7 linked regions of the Macaca mulatta genome follow. The protein of the gene in region 5 interacts with the protein of the main gene of each other region in a pairwise test. Links are inferred from orthologs where the notes say so. Each region holds a gene or a part of one and is shown on either strand. Other genes may lie near its edges. The genes, in order: PIAS3, SETBP1, DDX39A, SETX, UBE2I, HNRNPC and MAPK1IP1L.

Region 1 (4,096 bases), on a different chromosome or scaffold from region 5:
AGGCACAAGAGGATGGATAGGGAAAAGCGCAGGGCAGAAGAGAAGAAAGTCAGAAAGCAGAGTCCAGGGGTAACCCCCCAGGGATGAGGGAGGAAGACTGGAAGAGATGTACCTGGATGTAAGAATCTGCTGCACTTGCTGGGGTGTGAGGGCAAAGGTAAAGTGCGCTTCCTCAAACCGCTGGCTAGAAGTGGATGCTGAGGATACAAAGGGGCAGTTATTCCAAGCCCATGCACAGGCAGCCACAGAAATCACCCCCATCCCAGGTCACTGATCCCATAGGACTAAAGCCTAAGAAATGTCTGGGGAACAGGTAGGGAGTCCAGAAGACTAAGGGACCACAAAGAGCCATACCAAGGGTGGTGGGCCGGATGAGCTCCCCGTAGACTTCATAGAAGGGCAATGGTTTCATGGTGACATCAGGGTGCACAGGCTGGGCAAGAGAGGGGTGCATGTCCACCTCACGCTTGGGGCCCAGCAGGGTGCCAGGGGCCAAGAGGGTTGGGGGAATGGGAGCTAGAGGACCAGGGGAGCCTACAGGAGAGGTGCCAGGAGGCAAAGAGAGAAGGGAGAGGTCAGAGGGCCCCAGGGTCTTCCGGGGAAAGCGTCGTCGGTAAAGCTCTTTGATCTTCATCTGGACGCTAGGGGCACAGCTGGACTTCAGGAGGTGCAGGGCCTTGGCCAGGAGCTCGTGCTTCCGCCCACTCTTGTTCCGGCCAGCAAAGCCAAGAAGCACCTGGAGCTCAGACACCCGGAAACTCATCACCATGTGCTGTGGAGAAGAACAGAGAAGCTTGAGAATCCTCCGTTGCACAGGCCTGCCCTGCCAAGACATGGGCTGAGCTACCAGGTGGGCAGTGCCTTTTTCCCTCCAGCACTGATGGGAAAGATGATGCTTCGCAGCTAGTGGATTACTGCCAGGTAGTCAACCTATCCAAAGGGACATCTCAGTCCCACTTTAGCAACCATCAGGTCAGCATCATCACCACCCCCTGCCCACCCCAAGCTTGAGCAACACTGTCTGTCTCCCCAGGCCTGGAAGTGGCCAGAGTGGGGCAGGGAATGGCAGACAGCAAGCCACCCTCAGACACACCTCCAAGTCTACACAGCCTCCCGCCTCCAACCCTGCCTCTAGTCTGGACTCTCCTTTAAGCTGCTTATCTCCTCTCTTGCCCTTTCTCAGACACTCAAACTCATCCCAGCCTCCTGGGAAGAGGATAGGAGACAGGGAGAAGGAGGGAGAGACAAGAGGATTCAAGCCAGACAGCCCCACGGGGAAGAAAGGGGCCAGGTGGCTGGAGGATTGTGCCCTTCAGCCCACCCCTCCAAACCACCTTAATTCCTCAGCTATTTCCCCCAAGCCTCTGAAGCTTCTGTGGGCCGGGGTTTTCAGGTCAGGGTTCAATGCTCATTACTCCCCCAGATCCTTTCTTGGAATCATTAATATAACCGCCCCCTCCCCACAACTTAGTCCTATTTTTCTGGAAGGGAAACAGGACCAAAACTTAGGTTGAGGAGATTAACAGTGATTCACTGAGTCCAAGTATCCTGCCTGTTTACTCTATCTGCCAGGAACCATTATCTGGCGTCTCTCCTACAGAGAGAAAATAATACTCCTGTACAACCTACAGCCCCCCTACACGGGTGGAAGAGGAGCGGGCAGAGCTCTAAACAGAGGCCCTGGGTGGATGAAGGAAAAGCCTCTGAGTCAGGGCACAGAATCGCAAATTTCCTGAAGGTAGCTGGGCCCAGTGGCTAGACCTCCAGACTGCCCAGGACCATAGCTCCATTTCAAAGGGCAGAAGAAAACCAGGAGGCATGGGGATGAACTCGGTGGTTTAAGGTTCTATGAGATGTCCTCAGACGTGGTCACCCTCCAAACTCTGTGTGGCAGAAGGAGGGGAGCGCTCTCCTTAGAGGGAGGACTCCCTTCTGTGAATCTCTAGGAGATCCTGTCATGGGCAGGGCTTGCTAGCCCTACACAATTCTTCTCACAGGAGGCTTTGTCTTGGACCCCTTTTGTGGAATGTGATGAGAAACTTGCTCCTCTTTCTCCCAATCTTTATCTTCTCTGTCCTGTCTTATTTTTTCCATTAGCTTTCCCTATAACTTCCCTCCTTTCTATCTCATAGTTTCACATGCCTCTGCCTCTGCCCAAACATCGCGATTCACTAAGGCAGGACCTTCCTCTGAGCCTCCAGGATGCTTCTGCCCCACCCCTCGAGGTATCAGCCCGCACAGCCCCGCCCCCTGCATCTCAGCCGCCTACTGGTATTTCCCAAAGCTCGGATCCCGAGAGTAGCCCCAAAGACCCTACCCTTTCAGCTGCCTTTCCCCCGGAGCCTCCCCTACATCTGCCCCGCGGTCCCATCCCTGCATCTGCCCCCTACTGTCGCATCTCTTGGCCTCGATCGACTCGCCCCCAGTGCCTCTAGAGCAGCTTTTCCCCCTGGCCCTACCCCAACAACTGCCCCTACTACTAAATCCGACTTCTACCCTTCGTCCCCGCCCCCTGCGCCTCAGCCCCCAACAGCTGCAATTCCCCTCGGCCCCACCCCTACATCTGCCCCGCAGCCCCGCCCCCGGAGCCCCGCCGCAGCCCCTTCCTCGCTCTCAGCCACTTCTTTCCCATCCTCAGCAGCCCGTGCCTGCCACGTCGTCGGCGCCCACCCGAGCCCCGGCACCCAGTCTCGGTCGCTTCCCGGACACGGCGTACCGCCGGAATCAGTCCAGATGGGGATGGGGGAGGGGGCCGGTACCTTTAATTCGCCCAGCTCCGCCATCTTGAGACATCGCAGGCGCCCTAGCCGGAGCCGGAGCTCAGGCCCAGGGACCGGCGCACAACTCTCCACCCCGGCGCCGGCCGCAAATGCCGCCTGCTCCGCCCCGTCCGGCCCCCTATACCTCCCCTTCCCGGCCCCGCCCGCCTGGCTTCGGACTAGCCCCAGCCTGAGCCCCTCCCTCCACAGCGGACCCAGCAGCTACACGTCTGCGGCGGGTTGGCAGGACGCGTAGCCCCGGAGGGAGTTTATGGCCCCCAAGATCGCGGGGTCCCCTAGGGCAACGAAGAGGAGGCGGGTCCGAAGTGCCTGGTGGAGGGGGGCTTTGCCACGGCAGAGTTGGGAGGGGACAAGCTTTTAGAGAGCCAAAGATACTTGAAAGATGGAGGGAAAGTATCGGGAACTGCTAGAGCTCAGAGAAATGGGGGAGGGGGTAGCGAAGTTGGAGCGCAAACCCTCATCTCCATCTCTACATAAGTTTAAGCAACTAAAATCGAGAGGTCTTCCAACTCGGGAAATGGGCGAGCGCTGATCCGTCTTAGGGAAGCCGTGGAGTCGGCATTCAGTTCAAGACAGCTATACTCAATTCACCCTCTCCTCCTCCCCCCAACACCAACTACAATGCAGCTCGTGGTCCGATCGTAGGACTCAAACTCAGCAGCAAAAAAAGTTTGGTGCGGGGAGCGGGACTTACCAGCACAGTTGTGGGAAATGGAGAGAGGGTTCGGGAGGCTCAGAGGGCGGGCTGGAGAGGTGGGGGCATGGGGCTCGGCGCCGCTCCTGCTGTCCGCACGGCAGAAGTTCGGTCCAGCGGCCGGACGCGGCGGCCGCGGCTCCGCCCGGGCCGGAGCTCCGCCCGGCCTAGCGCTCGGGCTGGGGCCGCCCCCTCCACGGGAAGCCCGCCAGGACCGCCGAGAGGGAAGGGGGGCGGAGCTCGGGCGAGAGAGGGAGGGACTCAGAGCCTGGCGCTGGAGCGATTAACTCCTGGTGTGAGTGGATCTGGAGAGATGAGATCCTTGGATCCCATCATTCTCACTACCTCTGTGACCCCTCACGCTTATGTGTGGGATTGGGGTGGTGGCACGCTGCTGCTAAGGCCGTGTGAACCAGGTGTCTGACCGTATAAAGCAGTCTTCCTTGAAATGACAACTGTCTCTCCCTAGGGCAAAGCCTGGGCTACTGAATCCAAAGTGTACCTAACAGTAACTACTCCAGATACCCCTGCACAGTACCTCCACCAGAGCCCCCATACCTTTGGTGTAGCTGAAGATGAATTGAGGGGTTTTCTTGCCAACAAAAGGAATCTTTCTGTCCCT
Region 2 (3,500 bases), on a different chromosome or scaffold from region 5:
AAAAAAAAAAAAAAAAGCAGCCCCACCCAGAAGACAGTGTTGGGGGGCCCAGAGACCTCCACCATCAGGGTCAGGAGAGTTGGGTTTTCTTCCCAGCTCTGCAACCAACTGCCAACTGTCTGTAAGCTGCATTGGCCCACGGCTGAGCTGAGTTTGGACAGGTGGGGAGAGGCTAAAGGAATTGGGGGTAGTTAGAGAATAAGGAAATGGTTGTACTGATGAGTTAGGTAAATGAAAAGCAGAATAACATAATGTGATACTGAGAGAGGAACTGGGTGGTGGAGAGAGGAAGCTGTGTAGGTGACCGAACTTGCTTCCGCCTCCAAGCGGCTGTTTCGCATGCCTCAGCTTTGGTCCTCTGCAGTATTCCAGTCTATTCCTAGGGTCATACAAGTAGGGGATTCGAATTTAACTCACATGACCACTATAGACCAGAATTCACGTGTAAGTTGCAACTCTGCTGTTAAATCTCCTGAAATATCTTTCAGGGCTTTGGAAATTCTAATGTACCCCAAAGCTTTTTTGGAATTTCTCACCTACTAGAGGTTAATGTCAATTAAACTTTGGGTCCTTATTAAAGAAGTTTGCAGAGTGCCAGCTCATCTTCCTCTGCAAGAAGGTTGAGTCTGCTTATAGACGTGGCTGGAGAGACAGTACAACACAGGAAGGAGGAAGGGCAAACGAAAGAAAGAAGGAAATGATTTCAAAACCCAGGAAGAGAAACCTCTTTATGGCTGAATTGGAATGAAAATGGTTGCTGTTTCTTAGCAATGGTGGGGTGAGAGGGGCTAATTTAAACCTTCCTCTCAGGTGACTTTGGAACCACTCAGACAGGGCTTGGGAATGACGAATTAAAAATGGCTGCTTTGATTTTGCTGTTTAACTTGTGTGAAATGCCAAAGGTCAACCAAGGTCACAAACTGAGTATCTAGAATATAAGCTTTAAAGTAGAGGGGAATGCCGTCCTTTAAACTTACATATTGCTAGTATTAAATGCGACTGACCTAGCGGGCAGCAAATGATGTGAAGTCCATGGTGACAGAGCACAATAGTATGACTATGTGGGTAATTTCAACCAAATCTTGGTGCCATAACGGAGCAGTAATGTTTGCAAGCACATTAACTTGGAATTTAAAAATTTACTCACATAGATACCCCATCACTTATTCTCTTATGTTGCCAACAAAAATCCCTCTCTCTCTCTAAGGAAATAATATTGTGTTCTGAAATGATAATACAATTTCCAGCTGGTCCCAACTTCCCGTAAAGAAACTTAATTTGGAGGTAAACCAGATATTCTAATTCCCATTAGAAAATTTAATTCTCTCTCTCAGTGTCTCTTTCTATAATCTACCATGCCAGGTGTTTGATGTCTTGGGGAAGGTAAGGGGGAGTGAGGGAGGAAATTGAAAATACTTATTTGAAATTTCCACAATCTGACTTTTAGAAAACATCTACGGAAATGGAATTCTTCGTATTCATTCTGAGCCTGCTTAACATATTTTATTCGGGCTGTGGAAATGGATAATAGAGATGGAATATCTGTCCACGCTAAACCAATGGTTAGAGTACAACTTGGATGAGAAATGTACAGCTGAAATTGACCATTTAAAAGACGATTTGTCACACACAGTTTGCATCCATGCAGACTGATAGATTTATAATTACATTATGTACAATAATGTTTTAGTTTATTTAAGGCAACCACAATTTGGATACTTTGTCCAAGGTGGCTTGATATAATTGAAGTGGTGATACCCTTTGAGCATTTTATTTATTTATTTTTCCAGATAAGAACACTTACTCCCATTTGCTTTTAAGAAATAATTATCCAGGGATAATGGACTTCTTCTATTGTCTTTTTGTTTCCTTTTTTTCCTTTTTTTTTTTGAACAACCTATGACAATTATTCGTATGAAAAAGATCAGGTACCAGGGCATTGCTAGACACTTGTCTTTCTGGTGGGTCTGGGGTGTCAGTTTTTGGTGGCTTGTCAAGTTATTCTATTTGCTGTGGGGTATTAAAACCATTTTATTCTGCCTCTGCTCTGCTGACATGTTTTAAGTATAAAAATAGCCTGGTTGACATCTGGGTCAACATATCCTTGGCTGCTCTGCGTAACTTATTAAAAAGGTTTTATCAATACTGAGTATGTTTCACAATGATTGGGATTCAAAGCCAGGTTCTTGGAACAGCATGCCAAGGTTGAACTTTACAGCACAGGTTAAGAATTGTATTATTTAAATGTGTACCAAGATTAAAAAAAAAAAAGCAGCAAGTACGTCAATGAAAAGATATATGGAAGTACAACGGGCAAAGGAAAAGTAGGAATAGACAACGCTAAAAATCAGTGTATGTGCGACAGAAGAGGCACACAGAACATGAATGCGGGTCTAAGGTCGCCTATCACTAGAACTCCACCTTCTGATCACACAATTCCATCTGAGAAACTGTACGGTTAAGGGAAAGATTCAGGTCACCTGAAGATGACGTTGGTACCCCAAAGCTTAGCAGAGCTTGAAAATCAAAAGAAATAAAAACCAATTAAATGGAACGGGTTACAGCAATGCCAGTTGAGCAATTTGCAGCTTTTCTCCCCTTGGAATGTTTCCTAATTGAGGGTGTTTCCCTTTCGATTTTCCTGGCCAGCAAATGAAATCGGAGTCGAGGGCGCACTTTGGCAGCGGGAGGTCAGGAGAGCGCCACCATCCTGCTCCTCCTGGGGGCCTTCCGCTCGCCTGCGGACGATCCAGCCGTACTGAAGCGCCGCGTGGTGGGAGCTGCGGTGAAGCTGACAAGCTTCTTCTGAAGGTGTCTCCCTGCTTTGCTTTCCTTAGAGCTCCTGATGGCTCAGCCCGTCGTCTGGCCGGATTCTGCCTGCCCGGCTTCTGGAGAGAAGGGCGTGGGTGTCCCTGCAGCCGGGGATTCCGCCCCCGCCCACTGCGCTTTCCACGTATCAGTTCCCTAGGCCCCAGGTGCAGACGCCCAGACCCGCCCTAGGGAAGGACCTCGCTCTCACTCCCTCGGGACTTCCTCTGCCTTTTGGCTTTCACCTCCTCTTCCTGGGGAAGGGGCTGCTGCGGGGGCGGCTGCTGCGGGGGCTGAGCGGGGGCCTGCGGTTTGTGTTTCCTCTTTCCGCCTCGGGGGGTCTTGGGTAGAGGGGGTGGTGGGGGTAGGGGCGGTGGCGGCGGTGGCGGTAGGGGCGGTGGGGGTGGCGGGGGCAGGGGCGGCGCCTCCCGGGCCATGTGGATGACCGCTTCGATGGTGGCCATGATGGTGTCTTGGCTGGCGGCGGGCTCCAGCACCAGCGGGCTCAGGCTGGGCTTCTGGCCCCTTTTGCTGGGCAGGTCGATGCATTTTTCCAGCACCGGCATTTGGTCTCTGGAGTCCTCATCGAACTGGGTGGGTTGCTTCCTGGGACGCCCGCGCCTCTTCTTCACGAAGTTGTTGCCTGTTTTTGATTGTCTCTGCAGCCGCTTGGCCTTCAGGATCTTGTTCAC
Region 3 (4,241 bases), on a different chromosome or scaffold from region 5:
CCGCGCCTGGCCTGTAAAGCTGTTCTAATTAAAAATAATAATAACAAGGCCAGGCGCAGTGGCTCACGCCTGTAATCCCAGCACTTTAGGAGGCCTAGGCAGGCGGATCACGAGGTCAGGAGTTCGAGACCAGCCTGACCAACATGGTGAAACCCTGTCTCTGCTGAAAATACAAAAATTATCTGAGCGTGGTGGCAAGCACCTGTAATCCCAGCTACTCAGGAGGCTGAGGCAGGAGAATCTCTTGAACCCTGGAGGCGGAGGTTGCAGTGAGCCGAGGTGCCACTGCGCTGCAGCCTGGGTGACAGAGCAAGATTCCGTCTCAATAATAATAAAAAACAGGTGATAGCACATTGGGGCCAGCATGGTAGCATAGGTGAGAACTGGCCAGAGGGCCTTGATGGGATTCACTGCCTCATGGACAGGGATGCTGAGAGAGAAAAAACAGCCATTGAGAGAATGGAATTGCTGTTTCTGGGCTGGGATTGAGTGACAGTGGGGCCAGAAGTGGCTTAGGATCCTCAGCATCCAGCCTCAGGAAGAATTGTATCAGCTGCAGCCCTCTGCTCCACCCCCCACTGGAGTCTGGGGTAGAGGAGGAGGATGAAAGACAATTGTCCTCATGTTTGGGTCCCTTGCACCCAGCAGGCACTTGGTATGCATTAGATTAATAAAGCAAAGAGGTAGGCAGACTTTGTATTAATTCCATTTTCCATCTTCTCAGCTTTATTTTTATTGGCCCAGGCCCAATAGGAGGCCTTTCATGAGAGCACTTAATTATTCCCTTGTGCAGACCACAGAGAGCGGGAGAAGCTGGGGCTGGGCAGATACTGCTTGCTCTCTTGCAAACTTAGTTCCCGCCAGCATCCTGGCAGCCCTACCCCTGGGGTCTTTGGGCTCCTGCCCCATGAAAGCCCAGTGGGTTCCTTGCGGAGTGATAGGGAGGGGGCTTCTCTGGGCTAGGTAGCCCGAGGAGGTTCACTGGAGCTGAGGCTTGCGTGTGGAGAAGAAGGCATTTGTGCAGAGACCTGGGGCCGAGCATTGCTGGTGGTGACAACCGGGTTCAAAGGCTTGGGGCAGGAGTTCCAGGGGTCTGAGCAGCTGAACAAGGCTGGGGGTGGTGTGGGATGAGGTGGGCAGGGGTCAAACCAAGGGGATTGCCTGACCTGTGGTGAGAGTTGGGATTTTAACTCTGCAAGCCATGGGAAGCCCTTGGAGGTGGAGGGTGTTCTGTCTGTGGGTGTAGCAAGCGGGGCATGGGGGAGAGATAGGGTGGCTTGGGGGTGCGGAGGTGAAGACAGGGCGAAGCTACGAGATGCAGCCCAGGTGGAGCTGACAGGCTGGCTTATGGAAGGAGGTGGTAGAGAATGCCGTTTGAATGAAGCTTCATCATCCTTCTGTGCCCACTCGCGGGACCCTGCCTCTCTCTCTTCTCAGCATCATGGCAGAACAGGATGTGGAAAATGATCTTTTGGATTACGATGAAGAGGAAGAGCCCCAGGCTCCTCAAGAGAGCACACCGGCTCCCCCTAAGAAAGACATCAAGGGATCCTACGTTTCCATCCACAGCTCTGGCTTCCGGGACTTTCTGCTGAAGCCGGAGCTCCTGCGGGCCATCGTGGACTGTGGCTTTGAGCATCCGTCTGAGGGTACGCCTTCTGGGTGTCATCCTCTTGCCCAGGTCCTCACCAAGACAAGACCAGCCCTGCCCGCCCAGAGCGGTGCTGCCTCCAGTGTGCCGTGGGTGAGGGAGGGGCCTGCCCGCCCCTTGGATCAGTTGTGCCCAGCAGGGCCTATGGCTGCTCTCAGCACCGGGGTGCTCTGCTTTGACCAGGCAGATACCCTAGCCCTGCAGGTGTCTGTGGCCTTGTCCGGACTTGGCCTTTTCTGATTGCCCTCACTGTGGGCCCCCTGGTCAACTGGTGAGCAGCCTGCACGGGGGTGTGTCCAGGTTCTCGTCTCTCACGCTCTGCTTCTCCTGCAGTCCAGCACGAGTGCATTCCCCAGGCCATCCTGGGCATGGACGTCCTGTGCCAAGCCAAGTCTGGGATGGGCAAGACAGCGGTCTTCGTGCTGGCCACCCTACAGCAGATTGAGCCTGTTAACGGACAGGTGGGTGGGCTTCTTCCTTCCCAGCCCCACCCTACCTGTGGTGGCCGAAGTAGAGGGGCTGGATGAGGTGGCTCACACCTGTTAGCCCATCGCTTTGGGAAACCAAGGCTGGAGGATTGCGTGAGGCCAGGAAGTCGAGGCTGCAGTGTGCTATGATCCTACCACTGCACTCCAGCCTGGGTGACAGAGGGAGACTCTATCTCAAAATATAGAGTAATCAGTTATTACAAAAATCAGAAATTGCCAATAAGCCAAAATAACTGGAAAGTGCCTACAGTTTGCCCCTTGCCCCAGAGGTATTGCTGCTGTTTTGCTGTGCCACCTACCTAGAGAGTGTCCATCTATGAAGGTTGGGTTGCCCCGAATACAGCTGTCACTGCTGTCCTTGCTGTTAGGCCCTGGCTGTCTTCTCCCTTTATCTTGTGTGCCACTATCTTGGGGAGACACTTCAGTGAATTCTGGTGTCTTGCTCCTGAGTCAGGTCGGGTGCACATCTTTGGGCCTCATATTGGCGCCCGTGCGCTTGTTATCTCAGAGCACATCCTGATGGATGAAGGTGCCGTGGAGAGCTGTGGTGTGGTCCAGTGTCTGGTGGCATGGGTGGGAAGACCGGGGCTGGGGCCGCCTGAGTGCCGAGATTCAGGAAATCCTTAAAGAGCTGGGTCCCACGTCACCTGGGCAGGCCAGGTCTAACCATTATGCGGGCCATTTTCTGTTTCTCGTTGCGGGTCCTGGTGTTGGGAGACAAGTTTCAGTAGCTGTGGGAGGGTATAGGGAGTGAGGGTTGGAGAAGGGCCGTGAGAAGGGGGAGGCATTTGGACCGGGTCTTCAAATGGCCTATGATGTTGGGTGCAGTATGTTGGGGGGACTGGGTTGGGTGGACTCTGGTGGGGGAGGGGTTTAGGATACTGCCTGAGGGCCCTTTTTTCGTGCGACTTCCCAGGTGACGGTCCTGGTCATGTGCCACACGAGGGAGCTGGCCTTCCAGATCAGCAAGGAGTATGAGCGCTTCTCCAAGTACATGCCCAGCGTCAAGGTGAGCCCCTCAGGTTGGACTTGGTCAGGCGCCGCTTGGTTTCTGCAGCTTTGTTAGCCTCGGCTCTGGCCCAGCCAGCATTTACCAAGCTTGGCAGGGGCAGCTGCCTTTGAGGTTTGCGGTGGTTTTTGCTCCTTAAAAGCCTGATGAATTATGCATGGCTCCCAGGGGCCTGTGCAGGTCCCAGCCTGGGGCTTCCTTTGAGTGGAGCCCCGGGAGGCTCTCAGGCCTGCCTTGGTCCCCTGAGGCCTCCTGTTCACAGGTGCTGGGGTTGGGTATTAGGTGCCCTCAGGGGCTGCTGGGGCCGAGCTGGTTGGGGCCTTGGGCCAGGTATCAGCATGGAGCAGCTTCCTCCTCCTCCTCCCCATAGGTGTCTGTGTTCTTCGGGGGTCTCTCCATCAAGAAGGATGAAGAAGTGTTGAAGAAGAACTGTCCCCATGTCGTGGTGGGGACCCCGGGCCGCATCCTGGCGCTCGTGCGGAACAGGAGCTTCAGCCTAAAGAATGTGAAGCACTTTGTGCTGGACGAGTGTGACAAGATGCTGGAGCAGCTGGGTGAGTCATCTGCCCTTGCAGCCTCAGCTGGAGAGTCAGTGACTAGGTGGGCCCCATAGCAGGCGGAAGACTCTTGAGTGGGTCACATGGGTGGCTGGCAGGCGGGGCTCCTGTGGTGATCTTAGGGAAAGCTCTGCTGCTGGCAGAGGGACGTGCTGTTTCTGAGCCCGAGCCGAATGGGACCACGGGACCCAAATAAGCCCCCGTCCCTCCTGGACGTAAAGGCACGCGCACATACCTCTAGGAGTGTGAGACTTCTGCCACCTGTTGGGTTGGTTCTAGGCCCCACCTGCCCTCAGGGAGCCTCGACAGGGCCGGTGGGAGATGGGCTTGTGTCCTGGGAGGCAGCTGCAGCTCTCACCCCAGCGGCTGTCTCTGCCTCAGGCTCCCCTCCCTGAAGCGTGTCTCGAGGCGCACGGGCACGGCTGCTCCGCGCCAGCGCGTAAGTGGATTGCAGCTCCTCCCGCGCCTGCGCTCGCTGGCCACCCCCCAGCCCCTCAGGCACCAGGACTGGCCACTCCCGCGGCTCACTCTGCCCT
Region 4 (3,500 bases), on a different chromosome or scaffold from region 5:
GTGGGAGGTAGTGAATCTAAACTTCCGGATGTTTAGCTGAGAAGTGTATTTGAAGTTTCTGGCCTAAGGATAAGTCTGTAGAAAGTTACAGTTATACCTATGGTGAAGCATCCTATATTTTTGGTTTTGACACATTACCTCTCTTTTTGGTGGGTGCTCAGAGAGTTGCTTTAATTTTGGTTTTGCAGCTTGAGCATTGTCTGGACACACCCATTTGTCATTCAGTAATGATTCCAAGCGGTTACAGTCTGATGAAACTAACAAAATAGACCTCAAGAAGAACTGAGTTGTACAAAAACTTAACAGGATTCACAGTAGTTTAGAAGCAATTATTTTCTCCCTAAAAGACAAAATATGCCCTATTGAGATTTCCTGGGCTTAGCCATTAGGCTAGTGATGATTTTAAGTTTGAAGACAAAACCACACACACAGCCTTTTGAAGAAGAACTACGGAAGCGTATGTTCTCTTGGTGTGCTCTGCAGCAGTGTTCTCCATTATCTTCTAGATGCCACGACACTCACCTATTTTGGTAGTAACTCCCATATGCTTCGAGAAAATTTAGTCTTGCTTTTTCCGTTGTGGAAATAGGCTCTTTTTCTGAGTGAAATAAAAAGCAAATTCTGTAATTTTCTTAATAGAAGGTTTCTTTTGTTGTCTCCTTTGTTAGTAAAGTACACAACATTAAGAGTTTCAAGTAAGGTAAGTGGGAAAAGAAGTACGCAATGTTTTATTTGCATGGTAGTCCCACTTAAGTTTTTTAGATCTTAAATTGACTGCAGTCTGTTAGCTGCTGAGGTCATGCTTAAAACGATGTTTGAGAAACCTCCTTGAAGTTTCACTTTCTGTTCTTACGTCTTCTAAGTTTGCTTTCCATGTCAAACTAGGTCGCCAGAAAAAAACCAGCTTCTGCAAGCTGTTAACTTACTAGTAGTATGATATTAGCCTCTTAGGTATAAGTAATTCTTCTTCTTTTGAATAAAACAGTTTTAAATTCTGCAGAAATATATTGAAGATCTTATCCCATGTTACTTGGCATTTCCTGGTTTGCAGTGCCCCTGTACTAGGACGCCTTAATAAAATGTAATTGAGAGTTAGTGTCAGGAAAGGGTGGTGCTATGCAGCTATCACTGCATACTCTTTTTCTCCCCAACTTCGATGAGAACTGTAACTCATGTTACCCTTTTCGTCTGCTTTCCGGAAGCTCCTAATGTAGAACTTAGTGAAATTAAATTCCTTCTAAAGAAGTTTTGATTTTGTTTTTTGAAATCTCATTTTTAAATGTCCTTTTGTGTATGTACTTTAATGTTGAAAGCTACCCTGAATTTTTTTTAGAACCATGAAGAAAGCATACCCCTTCAAATGCATAAGTAAAAGTAATATTTAATAAATTTTGAGAAATCAATTCATATGACAATGTATTTGCTTATGCATTTCTAAATAATTATTTAATTGTGGGTATAAGAAGAAATTAAAGAATTTTTAGAAATCACTGTATTTTAGGAACTAGCTTTATGCCACAGAAGCCTCAGCAGCCAAGCCTATTTTCTGTTGAGATGTTTTATTTTTCCTGTTGGTAAAGATTATGTATTCTTTTTTTTTTTTTTTTTTTTTTTTTTTGAGATGAAGTCTCACTCTGTCGCCCAGGCTGGAGTGCAGTGGCGAGATCTCGGCTCACTGCAAGCTCCGCCTCCCGGGTTCATGCCATTCTCCTGCCTCAGCCTCCTGAGTAGCTGGGACTACAGGTGCCCGCCACTTCGCCCAGCTAGTTTTTTGTATTTTTTAGTAGAGACGGGGTTTCACTGGGTTAGCCAGGATGGTCTCGATCTCCTGACCTCGTGATCCGCCCGTCTCGGCCTCCCAAAGTGCTGGGATTACAGGCTTGAGCCACCGCGCCCGGTCAAGATTATGTATTCTTAAGTTTAGGGTGATGGTGATACTCAAAAATCTCACACTGCCATGTTTCCCTTCCCACATACCCGATGTCTTCACTTAGGTTTTTTTTTTTTGGAGACAGAATTTCACTCTGTCACCCAGGCTGGAGTGCAGTGGCGCAGTCTTGGCTCACTGCAACCTCGGCCTCCCAGGTTCAAGCGATACTCCTGCCTCAGCCTCCCGAGTAGCGGAATTGCAGATGCGCACCAACAGCTAATTTTTGTATTTTTTTTTAGTAGTGACAGGGTTTCACCATGTTGGCCAGGCTGGTCTCGCACTGCTGACCTCAAGCAAGGCCACCTCGGCCTCCCAAAGTGCTGGGATTGCAGGTGTGAGCCACCGCCTTACTTAGGTGTTTTAACCTCCTTCTAACCTTCTTTCTCCCTGAATGGAGAGTTTTTAAACATTTTTAAAAACTGCCCTCCTGTGAATTTTAATACTACCAATATATTGTGTCTTTCTTTATGTACTGTCTGTTTATCTGAGCTTTATATCTGAAAGAGGAGGACTTTTTCACGTCCCACTAACTAGTTTTAGATCTCTCTGAGGGTGACATCACTCCTGGTGAGGATGCATGAGCTAGGTCCTTTCAATTTATGAAATGAACTTAAGTTCATACTTGGTAACTTTTTTCCCCACTCCAAAATCTGTACTTTGAAAATGTTGATAAGTCTGGGTCTCTGTATATTTTCTGTCAGTACTGTGTAGTTTTGAGCCTTCTCTGTAGCACAACTTTATGTTGCCTTATGATACTTACTCCTTTTAAAATGCTTTCATTTTTCTGAATTTTTCATATGTCAACAATGGAAGGGTTTTTTTTTAGTTTAGTGAGTTCAGTGATTGATCAGCCAGCCAGCAGAAGATTTGGGCTTTAGTGACACATTTTAAATTGAAACCAGGGTCACAAGTTGGAAGTGTACCTGTTCTTGACACACAGACGGTCTGAAGTTGGTTTTCTTCTTGATGTTGTTTTCTTCTTGATGTCGTCTTTTCTGGCTGTAGGTACAGAATGAGCACATGTTGTTGGTGTACTCCAGGTGGTGGTTCCACCGTTGACTTCCTAAAGCGCTATGCTTCCAACACTCCATCCAGTGAATTTCAAACAGCTGACGAAGATCTCTGCTACTGCTTAGAGTGTGTGGCAGAATACCACAAAGCAAGAGATGAATTGCCATTCTTGCATGAGGTAATTTATATCAGATGGGCAATATTTTTCAGAGCGTGACAGCTAGGAAGATAATAAGTTTGAACTCTGTTGGATATTCAGAGAAATGATGATACGATTGCAACTTTGTGGGGGTTTTTTTGTTTGTTTTTATTGTTAGAGATGGAGTCTCTCACTCAGACTGGAGTGCAGTGGAGCGATTATACATATATCATTTTACACATTCGAGTATATTCTTAGGACAAATTCCTGAAAGTGAAAGTGCTGCTCATGATTTTCCATGGGCCACATGGGTTTTCATAGTTTGTTTTGCTAAGTTTTGGAGACAAGGTCTTTGCTCTGTTGCCGAGGCTGGAAGTGCAGTGGTGAGATCACGGTTCACTGCAGCCTCAGCCTTCTTGA
Region 5 (4,300 bases):
GAGATGAGTGCGGTGGAGTTGTGAGAGGTGAGTGCTTTGCTCACCCTCAGCCAGGAAGTTGCTCGGAAGTCGGTGCTGTCAACCAGCAGAGCAAGGTGGTGATCCGAGAAGCTAAAGCTCAGCCGGTCGCGGGTGCCCAGCAGGACAGAAGGCAGACCTTCAGGCCACTCCTGGAGTGCTTGGCCCTGTCCTGGTTGCTGCAGTGTCTGGGCCTTGCTTGGCTCTGATAGATGAGGGTTGTTTTTGTCTTTGCCTCATATAAGTTCCCTGCTCTGAAGGGTCTAGTAACTGCTAGCCATTCACTTAGTGCTTATCTGTTAATTTGGAAGGGCAAATTCGATTTTCAGCGGGATTTTGAATGCTTCGTCTGTGTTGTGATTACATTGTAACACATTGGCCACTTTCTCCAGGAGGCCAGTAGGAGGGGGAGCAGGGGGAGGGGCCTGGCTTCTGCCTAGGACAGGGTGGGTGTGCACCTGTGGCTCCTTGCCCTGTGGTGCAGTTTCCTGTGAGACCACCCTGTGGTGCTGAGTGCTTTGGGGCAGGGGATACAGCAGCATCAGCCAGACCTTGGCGGGAGGTCTCACAGGAGCACCCTCACGACTTCTCACATCTGAGACAGCAATAGCTAGGTGCTGGGACGGGGGCCTCTAGGTGGCTCTGTCCGGTCTTCAGTAGGAGGGCTACCTGTGGCAGGGTTCCAGGCCTGGCTGGCCTCTCTGGGGCTGGCCTCTCTGGGGCCTGGCCTTGCCTGGCTGTGAGGATCGTGTTGGCCTTGGTCCTTCAGTGTCTGGAGCACTGGCCTGGGGCTTCAGAGACCTGCTTGATTCCTGGCCCCGCTCAGACCCCGGGCACCTGGGAGGTCGTGGCTCCTCAAAACGGCCGTTCACCAGGCTGCTTTGCACCGCACCAGGCACAGGCTGTGGCTACTCATGAAGCCCACCCTGGGGCTGGGGAAGCGAGAGCTGTGAGTCCTCAAGCCACAACTGAGCTGCTCCATGTGGAAGTGGAGGGTGGAGACACGTGCAGAGAGAGCCTTGAAACCGTGGTTGGCGGGAGCTCCACTCCACTCTGGGCTCGAACCCTGCCTGCCCACAGCTGAGCCCAGCTGTGTCCCCCACTTTCTCCCTTTCTGGCCCCTGGCTTCCCCCCACCCCCACTTAGAGAAGGGCATGGGGATGGGCAAGTGGTCCAGAGGGCAGGCGGCCTGCGGGCTCCTCCGCATCCCTGTGAGGAGGGCATGGGGAGGGACATCCCGGTGGGGCCCAGTCTGGGGCTACCTGTCTTGGACTTAATCGTGTAGCTGGAGGCCAGTGCCCGGATGGCCCCTGTCACCCTCTCGCTGTGATGCCAGCACCTACTGACTGGAGGACCCGGGTTCCTTTGCCTGATTTTTCTCAGGCTGCCCTGAGGATCCGTGTTTGGTTAAAAAGGAGCCAAATCCACCTGCAGGGCAGGCGGCTCTAGCAGCCCCGCCTGGCTTCCAGCACCCTGGTTCCCTGGCGACACTGGACCCGCCTGGGCTTCCTTGATCCCAGCCCCACCCCTGATTTCTGCTTTGCTGCCTCGGGAAGCCATCGTGCCGCCCAAAACCCGAATGTGGGCCTCTCGGAGCTCCTTCCTCAATGAGTCTGCTGGGGACTGGGCCTTGCCTCCCTAACAAGTGCCAGGTGAGGCTGCGGCGGCTCTGGCCCAGGTGGAGCTGCTGACCTGGCCCCTTCCTGCAGCTGTGAGGTGTGTGAGGTTCGTGGGCCTGCACAGGTGCGGGCGCCATCCAGGTCACCAGGGCCCTTGTAGGGACGGCCCCCCACGGTTTGGAAGGCCTGGCGCAACCCCCAGCTTTGTCGAGGTGGCCCTTGCTTGGCGCTGAGATGCCAGACTTGGAGGCAGCTTCAGTGTTCCCGTGGACTTTGAAAACCAGCACACACTTGGGCTTGAATTCTCTGGCAGGTTTTGTGCCCTGAGTGCTGTTTTTCATGGTAAAGGTGACCACCAGTAGGGTGACAGGTGAGGCTGGTGTCGAGGCTGCTGGCCCTGTTTGCCTGGTGTCCCCGGGGACAGTGCGGGCCGACAGGCTCCCGCTGGGAACCAGAAGGCAAAGGTGCCAAGCCCCTGAGGTCCCGTGGAGAAGTGTGGAGCTGGAATCTGGCGTGTGTGCCGCTGCCTCTGACCAGGGACCTGGTCCCGTACCCCATGCTCCTGCCCTGCCCCACAGGACCCGTCTGTCCCCTGAAGCCACAGGGACATGCTAGCGGCTGCAGGGTCCGGGAACGGTGGCCCTGTGGGGGGCTCCTCTTTCAGCGAGGCTGAGCCTCTGCCCTGTGGTACTTGTTCCACTCTGTCTTCAACACGGTGAAACCCCATCTCTATTAAAAATACAAAAATTAGCCGGGCATGGTGGCGGGGGCCTGTAGTCCCAGCTACCCGGGAGGCTGAGGCAGGAGAATTGCTTGAACTCAAGAAACGGAGGTTGCAATGAGCCGAGATAGTGCCACTGCACTCCAGCCTGAGGGACAGAGTGAGACTCCATCTCAAAAAAAAAAAAAAAAACAATATTAGGTGTCCCCCTGGCCCGGCTTGAGTCTCAGTTCTGAGCGCCTGATAGTAAGGCGGGGACCCAGATAGTAAGGCTGGGACCCAGCCCTGCCTAGTCCCCACCTGACGGTTCAGTGAGGACCCTGCCACGCCAGCCACCACAGGGTGGCAGCTACCGCCCAGCCACAGCAGCCCAGCCTCTGAACATCCGTCTCCACCGTGGAGCAGAGGCCGCGGCACGTGTCGCAGACCAGGGCTCGGGGGGCCCATGGGGAAGGGGTCCTACCTGTCCCCCCACCCCCGGTGATCTGGGATCCACTCATGAGGCCTCCCCTGGTAGACCCCGGGGTCGGACGACGGCTTCCAGGAGGAGAGTCTCTGCTGGGCTGGGCTGGCGCCTGTTAGGAGCAAGACTGCCCACTGCGGGCCGTGTGCACGTGGCGGGGCCGCAGGAGCCCGCTAGCCTGTCCTGACCCCGTGCTCTGCCTCCTGTGTTCCAGGGACTCTGAACATGTCGGGGATCGCCCTCAGCAGACTCGCCCAGGAGAGGAAAGCATGGAGGAAAGACCACCCGTTTGTAAGGAGGGCTTCGTTTCCGTGTGCAGTGCCGCGGACGGCCCCCCTGGGCTGAAACCGTGCCCCCCACCACTGGGAGGGAGCTGGCCGCGTGCCTGGGTCGCGCTGGTGGGGCTCGCGGGCCGGTTCTCGGTGGTTTTGGTCAAACGAGATGCCACCGCACTGATGTGCTTTTGTGGTTGTTTTCTCTCAGGGTTTCGTGGCTGTCCCAACAAAAAATCCCGATGGCACGATGAACCTCATGAACTGGGAGTGCGCCATTCCAGGAAAGAAAGGGGTAAGAGGCGCGCGCTGCTAGCCTCCTGCCTGTCGGGGCTCAACAGATGCGTGTGGCAACGCCACGGGGAAACTGCTCAGCCCCTGCCGTCTGTGACGGCCGCCCTTGTCACGGGCTGCGGACAACAGGTCAGATCCCCAGCTGTGGCCTGGCCCCCGCCCCGTGCGGACTTGAGCTCAGAAGGTGGTGCTGGCAAGGTTGGGGTGACAGCTGTGTCCCCACCGAGGGCATTTCTGGTTGAGAAGGAAGCAGGCTGGGCACAGGGCTGAGCTGTGGCAGAGGGGAGGGGCTCTGGTGTGTGTTGGGAGCAGGCCTGAGGGCGGGCAGCCTTTGCAGGCTGGAACCCGGGATTCTGCTGTGTCCTTCCAGGTGTGGCTCAGGTCACGGTAGCTGGGTTTGCTGGAGAGCCACCCTGGCGTAAAGCCGCCTCCTGGAGAACCTCCTGGGGCACAGGGACTGGCGACAGCAGCCTAGGATGCCTGCTTGGGGCCCCCTGTGTGTCTGTGGGGAGCAGGGCGGCCTGTGTGCCTGTCGTCTTTGCCCGGCTCCCGTGAAGCACTTGGCCGGGGACTCCAGGCTGGTGTGCACATAAGGTTCATGCTGGTGAACCCTGAAGGAAGGAGAGAGCCCTGAGGTGCTGGTCCTGCCCGAGGCCTTGTTCCCTCCGGCCCATGCCACCCTCTGGGTTTCACTCTGAAACTCAAAGCAGCTTCGGTCCCCCTGAGCTGAGCAGTCCCAGCAGGTCTCAGCTTTGCCTGAGACATGGTGTCACTTGGGTTTGTCGCTTGTCTGAGGCTCTGCTGAGAACGTCCCTTGCTCTTCACGTCACGGCGACGCAGGTGTGCGGCCCCGAGGAAGACGGGAGTGGTGTCGGATTGTGGGGTGGCAAAGGCGCCTCATCCAGGCAGGATC
Region 6 (4,204 bases), on a different chromosome or scaffold from region 5:
AAATGTAGTATACACAAAACCAAAAGCTTCCCATTTCCAATGAGAATACAAGAATATGCATATTAAGAGCAAATAATGCTCCCCAGAGACAACTACTAATTATTTGAAGACTGAAATAATGTGGTTAAGAATAGTAGTAACTACTACTAATTTAGAAAACTGGGGCCGGGTGCCGTGGCTCACACCTGCGTAATACCAGCATTTTGGGAGGCGGAGGCACGAGGATTGCCTGATCTCAGAAGTGAGACCAGCCTGACCAACACGGTGAAACCCCGTCTCTACTAAAAATATAAAAATCAGCCCGGCGTGGTGGCGCACGCCTGTAATCCCAGCTACTTGGGAAGCTGAGGCAGGAGAATCGCTCAAACCCGGGAGGCAGAGGCTGCAGTGAACCGAGATTGTGCCACTGCACTCCAGCCTGGGGCAACAGTGAGACTCCGTCTCAAAAAAAAAAAAAAAAAAAAAACTGCTTTAAAAAGACTGCATCTGTACAGTTTTTAGTCTTCTGGCAACGAAAAATTTGAATTAGAAACTAAAAATTCAAATAAGTTAAAAAAAAAAAAGTCTAAGTCCTCTTATTTAAGCAAGGAGGATTAAAATCTATTTCTCCTCCTAGGCAAACTTACTCCCTATTCAACACCTCACATTCAACACTTAATATTAAGTTTTAATAATTTGCCCCTTAGTCTTTAAAATTAGAGCAACTAGCTATTTGAGTTTATTCTTTGTGTCGCACTGCCATTCCATCCAAAACAAGGTCGAATGCCATGTCAAATCCTCTAAGAGATTTAATTACAAACGTAAGCTGTTTAAATTCTCCACAGAAGGAACATCAACTACCAAGTATTCCCAAGAGTGGCACACGAATGGGGGGAAAAAAAGGTCAGAAAACCTGCAACCTGGCCATCCTTCAACTTTTCCCCCTAGCCAATACGCTAGCCAATACGAAAATGTTACTAAATGCCTATCCAGTTGAGAACACACCTGGAATTGTGATATAAATGCCGTGGCAAACAGTTCTTGATATTAAAGAATTTTTGGTACGCTGATATACATACTGATCTGATATACATACTGATCGGAAGGAACCCGTATTTCTAACACCTCAAAGGCAAAGAAAAGTGCCTGTCAATCAATTTCAGCTATTATCAACTGTTCTTAAATACTAACTTCTGACATTTCTCATTGCCAACATTTTTACTACATGATTTCCCCATTAATCTATTTTTGCCTTTACCTCATTTCTAACAGTTTAGCACGATGATAAACTTTAGTTTTAAGTTCCTGTAATAATATATTTAAACTTAAAGGGGTCGCGATGTTTTTGACCCTTATTTTACTTCCTATCAAATAGGTTGCCTTACAGATAAATTTCTTACCCGGCAGAATTGGTTTAAACTGTGCTTAACAGCTTTAGTTTTTGTGAAATTAACAGATTGTAAAAAATAACCAAATCTCATGTGAGGATTTAAAAAACCGATTTCCCAGATAAGTGAACGTGACACTAAAGATCTGTAACTTTAACTTACAAGTTTTTTATCAAATTTCAGCACCGAGCAAATAACAGCACTGTTAATATTTGCTTAATAAAATGTAGCTGTGAATTTTTGCCCAAGTTTAGGTGGACGGGAAAATTAACATCAGAATAACCCGAAAGTCAAATTTTGTCATCTTACACTTAGGAAGTTACGTTAACAACAAATTCTCAAGTCTCGTAGTATTTTTCTTAAGCGCAATTTGGGAATTTCCAGTTACCTCGTGGTTTCCGTCATCAGGTTCTTGCAAAGATTCAAATATTGTACTTTTAGAACCCGGTATTCCATTAACCAGGTAAAAACCACTCGACTGACCTCGTGGTCAAATTCCTTAGTAGTTCTGCTACTGACTTAATTATGACCCTAGCAATCAACACTTTGCCTCAGTTTCTGTCTGAGAAAGAGAGTTAATACCTACCTCAAGCAAAGTTCCACTAACTTATATATTTCAAGTGTTTTGTAACCTGCAGATGAAAAGTCAGCTGTAATTATTAATATAGTTATACACAATATTTCCTTTTACAAACGTAAGTGAAAATAACTACTTCGAGCTCCATTATTTGCTCATAGAGAGGAATAAAATAAAAAGTTATCAGTAAAATGCTAAATCTTTTGTTAAACCTTTCTCATAGGCCACGCGGCACGATCCAGGATTTAAAGGCTCGCGATACATCTACTTGGTAACCTTCCCCCTCCCCCTCCCCCAATTTTTACATGTAAGAAGAACCGAGGTAATAGAAGGCATCGGCGCTATGTTAACTTCGACTATATTAATGAACATCGCGATCTTCATTTTCAGGATCCCGGAGTCCTCGCGGTCGTAGAAAATGAAAGGAAAGCAGCCGTTAACACAGGAAGAGCGAAAAAAGGGCATTTTCCCTGGCGATCGTGGCCCAGAGGACACCAGGTTAAACCTACGCAGAGGCTGAGGCCTGTAAAACCGCCTCCCGCTTCAGACCTAATCCCCCAAAACAAACAGAATAAATGAGGGCCCGGTTAGTTAGGGGGAAGGGTTCCCTCATATTCTCTCCCACACCCCCTCTAGCTTCCCAAAAAACCCAGCGCCTTCCCTGCGTCCGCCCTCTCCACTTACCAGGAGGGGGGAGGGAGAAGAGATTCGATTCTGAGTCTCCTACTCCCGGATTCGGCGTGAAGAAACCGACTGCAGGTCGAGGTCGGCAGCGCGGCCACAACCGCTCAGTCTTCGTCTCTTCACAAAATGGCCCCCGAGTCTCCTCTGCCGCCGAGGCGAAGGCCTAGTCCCCGCCCCATCCCTAAGAATCTTCCTATTGGCTGTGTGTTTTTTCGCTCCCGCTCCTAATTAGACAGTTCAACCGCTTCTCACAATGATATCCAGTCACAATTGGCAGTGGGTTAGACTAAGCAGAAGAATTTCCACATGCGTGAGAGAAACTAGTTTGTAACTGGTTAATTTTCCTGTCATTTATCGTCTGGGGAATGTTTATTGGCTATTGCACCGGACGACCCTCTGGGTGGAAACTCGCCTTTGTATCGCGCACCGTCTCACATCCGGGTATCTGGAAGGCCTGATTGGCGGCCGCGGTGTCCTATCGCTGCTCCTTAGAGTGCCTAGTAAAAGGTTCGCTCAGACCTCGGATTTCCGGCGGCGCGGGGGCGGGGAAGGGCTTGAGGGGCGTTGTTAGGTGACGGGCGCAAAGGACTTGCCCTAGCCCCGGGCCTAGGAGAAAAAAAGCGCGAAATGAAGCCTCCGGCGTGCAATATGAATAAAGAAAGAACTTTACTTAAAATGAGGAGGGAGCAGCGGTGACTAGGCCGTGTTAAAGTGTGTAGAAAACTAACCAGCCCTGCCGTTTTTCCAACCCGAGAGCCTTTCTCAGGTCCAGATTCGAATGTCAGCTACCTCGTAGACATCTCTGCTTCTCAGCCTATTAAACCCTTCTTCAGACAACACATATTCCATCCAAACCAACTGACTTCCTTATTCCTCTCCAATATGAAAAGTAAATGAAGTGCAAAATCCCGGCCTCTGGCCCAAGTCATCTCACTAATATCTTAAGTGCCAGTAAAATTGGCCCATCCCTCCGAATCTGCTCCCTTAATTTCCCTCCTCTTAAAATGGCTTGTCTCCTACGTACCCCCGTCACCTGCCAGTCCTTCTGGTTACATTATAGGAACTGCGCACACAGTGGATTAGCATCAGCTCTACTAAGGGAGCCATTTCTTTTTTTTTTTTTTTTCTTTTTTCTTTTCTTTTCTTTTTTTTTTTTGAGGCAGAGTCACTGTCGCCCAGGCTGGAGTGCAACTGCCTCCAGTTGAGGTTGATTGGCGGCCGCGGTGTCCTATCGCTGCTCCTTTTTTTTTTTTTTTTTTTTTTTTTTTTTGAGACGGAGTCTCGCTCTGTCACCCAGGCTGGAGTGCTGTGGCCGGATCTCAGCTCACTGCAAGCTCCGCCTCCCGGGTTCCCGCCATTCTCCTGCCTCAGCCTCCCGAGTAGCCGGGACTACAGGCGCCCGCCACCTCGCCCGGCTAGTTTTTTTTTTGTATTTTTTAGTAGAGACGGGGTTTCACCGTGTTAGCCAGGATGGTCTCGATCTCCTGACCTCGTGATCCGCCCGTCTCGGCCTCCCAAAGTGCTGGGATTACAGGCTTGAGCCACCGCGCCCGGCATATCGCTGCTCCTTAAGGCG
Region 7 (2,840 bases), on a different chromosome or scaffold from region 5:
TTAAAGTAAATTTATTGCTTAATAAATCCAAACAGCAAGTCACATCACTTACTCTGGCGTACACTTTGCAAAACAAATATTTTTAGATAATATATATAGCAAGAAATTACACTAATGCAAGGAGGAAGTTTTGGGGGTACTTTAAAGATTTCTTTTCCTTTATAGCTGGAGTGGATGTTTGACTAATCTAATCAGAGATCTGACTAGTTATTTGTGTATTAAGAGTTAACAGATTTTTTTTTTCTGGTCGTGCACGGTGGGCTCAGTAATCCCAGCACTTTGGGAGGCTGAAGCGGGCGGATCACTTGAGGTCAGGAGTTCAAGACCAGCCTGGCCAACATGGTGAAACTCCATCTCTACTAAAAATTAAAAAATGAGCCAGTGTGGTGGCGCACGCCTGTAATCCCAGCTACTCAAGAGAACTGCTTGAACCTGGGAGGTAGATATTGCAGTGAACCAAGAGACCGCACCACTGCACTGCTGCCTGGATGACAGAGCAAGACTGTCTCAAAAAAAAAAAAAAAACAAACAAAAAAACCAAACCAGTTAACAGACTTTTTTTTCCTAAGGAAAATCTTCTGCGTTTGGATACTCGCTTGGCTTACCTCACAGGGGAAATGGGGTACTTTTCCATTCGGTTATATGACCAAGGCAGGCTCCTCAACTAAGATGTTAACCCCACTCTGGCTTGTCTGACAGTAAAGCATAAAGCATTACATGTAACTGACAATAAAGAATAGGGGTACAATCCCGAGCTCGAGAATTGCTTGAAAGATGGGCAACATTACCTACTCACTGGCTTGGATTCTCTAAAAATCTACCTCTATCAAGCTAGACAGGTAGAGACTGCTTTTACTGAACTATACTTTGGTGTGATGCTATGAAACGATACTGAGAAATAATAATAATAAAACAAAAAGCCCAGTGAATCTCAGAGTTTAACTAAAGGATGCTATTGAGGGACACTGCTTACTACATTACAAAGTCTTTGGGGATCTTTGGAAAATTTTTCTTTTTAGCACAAGGGATACTTAAAATACTGCTTTCATCCTTTTAAATGCTTTACCTGAAGGTTTGAAATTTACTCATTTAATATACACACACCCTCTTTTAAAAACTTAAAAGCCTTCTTAATCTTCCATCCAAAACTGGGGAGAAACAATCTTTCAGTTGTGCTATGTACAATTAGTACACTTTAAATAACAAATTGAACACTCACATGGGGGCCACCAGGCATCGGTGGAGCACCAGAAGGTCCTGAAGGCACTTGGAAAGGATTACTGGGAGTAGGATAGAGTCCTGGTGTGGGATACGATCCTGTAGGGGCAGGATATGGTGCTGGTGGTCCCCAGGCTCCTGGTGGAACGGTGCCCCATGGAACAGGTGGTGCTGCCCCAGGGGCTTGGGGAGGAGGAGGAGCGGGATATGGCCCTGGAGATGGATATGGCATATTAGGGGTAGGATACTGCCCTCCCATTCCTGGTGCCCAAGGTCCAGAAGACATGGATCCCCATGGACCTAAAGGACCAGCTGCAGCTGGATCTGTGGGTGCACCATATGGTCTGGGTAGCTCTGGAAAGGGCATATTTGGTGTAGGATATGGCCCTGTGGGGCCAGGGCCTGGCACTGTTGGGGCTGGGTAAGGACCACCGGGTGGGGGGCATGATGGTCCAGAAGGAGGAAAGGGTGCTGGGGGTCCTGGAGGTGGTCCGGTGGGAGGCACGGAGGGATACATTCCTGTTGGTGCTGGTCCAAAAGGCACAGTGGAGGGCGTTGCACTTGGTGGGAGTCCAGATGGCACCGAAGGTGGAGCACTCGGATTATTCCAAGGGCTGGAGCCTGGCCAGCCTTGAGGAGGTTGGCCAGGTTTTGTATTGCTCACAGCAGAGGTTTTGGCAGGGGAGTGTTCAGGTAGTGCATCTGCCAACTGGAACACAAAACAGATAACATCTTATCTATCTTATCAAGAGAAAAGTTATACCAAACACCATTATAAACCCACAAAGAACAGTAACCTACAGGGCCAGGGATTATAAACCTCAAGAACATCTTCAAAAGCTAAGCTAGTCATTTAAAACGTACTCGATTTAACATAAAACTTGAGGTGTTAACTTTGAATATCAACTTTACAGTGCAAGTTCTTCAGAGAAGCTCGTTTTCTAAATACAACTAATCATATTGTGCTTCATTTCTCTGCTGTATTAATATAACAAAGTACAGTAATTAAGAAGATAGAACTAACAGTCAAGGTATGGATTTGAATCCTGGCTTAACCTCAAAGGAGCTACATACTCTGAGATAGAGCTTCTTCAGTTTCAAAAACTATTTTAGGGTTAATTTGAGGCTTAAATATGATAGTTCATGTAGTACACTTAACACAGTGCCTGGTATATAATAATTTCCAATAAATGTTGGCTACTAATACTATCAGGGTAAAAGAGAATAGAAGTAACATCTTAAATTTTCATTTAAGGATTCATAAAGAAATATAGGAAACATTTCCAAACATGCTATTATCTCCATGTTTGGCAAATCACCAAGGCAAATCACCTATCAAAATCCCTCTCCTACCCCCAAAGCCAAGAATCACAAAAAGCATCTCTTTTATTTATTTATAAACAGAGTCTCACTCTATCGCCCAGGCAGTAGTGCAATGGCACGATCATGGCTCACTGCAGCCTGGAAATCGTGGGGTCAAGGGATCCTCCCAAGGAGCTAGGACTACAGGTGCACACCATCGCGCCTGGTTAAAGCATCTCTTTTAAGTGAAAAGATTTACGAAGGCCAGTTAGGACCACGTTGTTTTTCTTAAGAGATGAAAAACTTATCACAGATAAACT

What was found.
Region 1: the proteins of UBE2I (region 5) and PIAS3 interact in a two-hybrid assay, tested with the Homo sapiens proteins (2 studies listed by BioGRID and IntAct). The link is inferred for Macaca mulatta from reciprocal best matches to the Homo sapiens genes UBE2I and PIAS3.
Region 2: the proteins of UBE2I (region 5) and SETBP1 interact in a two-hybrid assay, tested with the Homo sapiens proteins (2 studies listed by BioGRID). The two-hybrid records come from large-scale screens. The link is inferred for Macaca mulatta from reciprocal best matches to the Homo sapiens genes UBE2I and SETBP1.
Region 3: the proteins of UBE2I (region 5) and DDX39A interact in a two-hybrid assay, tested with the Homo sapiens proteins (3 studies listed by BioGRID, with this or other methods). The link is inferred for Macaca mulatta from reciprocal best matches to the Homo sapiens genes UBE2I and DDX39A.
Region 4: the proteins of UBE2I (region 5) and SETX interact in binary tests that used the Homo sapiens proteins (3 or more experiments, as listed by UniProt). The link is inferred for Macaca mulatta from reciprocal best matches to the Homo sapiens genes UBE2I and SETX.
Region 6: the proteins of UBE2I (region 5) and HNRNPC interact in a two-hybrid assay, tested with the Homo sapiens proteins (2 studies listed by BioGRID and IntAct). The two-hybrid records come from large-scale screens. The link is inferred for Macaca mulatta from reciprocal best matches to the Homo sapiens genes UBE2I and HNRNPC.
Region 7: the proteins of UBE2I (region 5) and MAPK1IP1L interact in a two-hybrid assay, tested with the Homo sapiens proteins (3 studies listed by BioGRID and IntAct). The two-hybrid records come from large-scale screens. The link is inferred for Macaca mulatta from reciprocal best matches to the Homo sapiens genes UBE2I and MAPK1IP1L.

The regions. Positions count from the first base shown.
Region 1 is NC_133406.1:119,438,376-119,442,471, reverse strand, and holds the start of PIAS3 (E3 SUMO-protein ligase PIAS3), read right to left. Parts: upstream 2,801-4,096; 5' UTR 2,784-2,800; coding exon 2,760-2,783; intron 773-2,759; coding exon 355-772; intron 198-354; coding exon 113-197; intron 1-112. UniProt on the Homo sapiens protein: Functions as an E3-type small ubiquitin-like modifier (SUMO) ligase, stabilizing the interaction between UBE2I and the substrate, and as a SUMO-tethering factor.
Region 2 is NC_133423.1:47,334,648-47,338,147, forward strand, and holds part of SETBP1 (SET-binding protein), read right to left. Parts: coding exon 2,997-3,500; 3' UTR 1-2,996.
Region 3 is NC_133424.1:15,013,197-15,017,437, reverse strand, and holds the start of DDX39A (ATP-dependent RNA helicase DDX39A), read left to right. Parts: upstream 1-1,441; coding exon 1,442-1,649; intron 1,650-1,984; coding exon 1,985-2,112; intron 2,113-3,055; coding exon 3,056-3,148; intron 3,149-3,518; coding exon 3,519-3,702; intron 3,703-4,241. UniProt on the Homo sapiens protein: Helicase that plays an essential role in mRNA export and is involved in multiple steps in RNA metabolism including alternative splicing. Regulates nuclear mRNA export to the cytoplasm through association with ECD.
Region 4 is NC_133420.1:15,130,863-15,134,362, forward strand, and holds part of SETX (putative helicase senataxin), read left to right. Parts: intron 1-2,935; 5' UTR 2,936-2,942; coding exon 2,943-3,119; intron 3,120-3,500. UniProt on the Homo sapiens protein: Probable RNA/DNA helicase involved in diverse aspects of RNA metabolism and genomic integrity.
Region 5 is NC_133425.1:2,512,388-2,516,687, forward strand, and holds the start of UBE2I (SUMO-conjugating enzyme UBC9), read left to right. Parts: upstream 1-1,500; 5' UTR 1,501-1,670; intron 1,671-3,035; 5' UTR 3,036-3,046; coding exon 3,047-3,112; intron 3,113-3,304; coding exon 3,305-3,388; intron 3,389-4,300. UniProt on the Homo sapiens protein: Accepts the ubiquitin-like proteins SUMO1, SUMO2, SUMO3, SUMO4 and SUMO1P1/SUMO5 from the UBLE1A-UBLE1B E1 complex and catalyzes their covalent attachment to other proteins with the help of an E3 ligase such as RANBP2, CBX4 and ZNF451.
Region 6 is NC_133412.1:94,116,737-94,120,940, forward strand, and holds the start of HNRNPC (heterogeneous nuclear ribonucleoproteins C1/C2), read right to left. Parts: upstream 2,801-4,204; 5' UTR 2,629-2,800; intron 2,000-2,628; exon of another isoform or gene 1,954-1,999; intron 1-1,953. UniProt on the Homo sapiens protein: Binds pre-mRNA and nucleates the assembly of 40S hnRNP particles. Interacts with poly-U tracts in the 3'-UTR or 5'-UTR of mRNA and modulates the stability and the level of translation of bound mRNA molecules. Single HNRNPC tetramers bind 230-240 nucleotides.
Region 7 is NC_133412.1:128,193,152-128,195,991, reverse strand, and holds part of MAPK1IP1L (MAPK-interacting and spindle-stabilizing protein-like), read right to left. Parts: intron 1,928-2,840; coding exon 1,220-1,927; intron 1-1,219.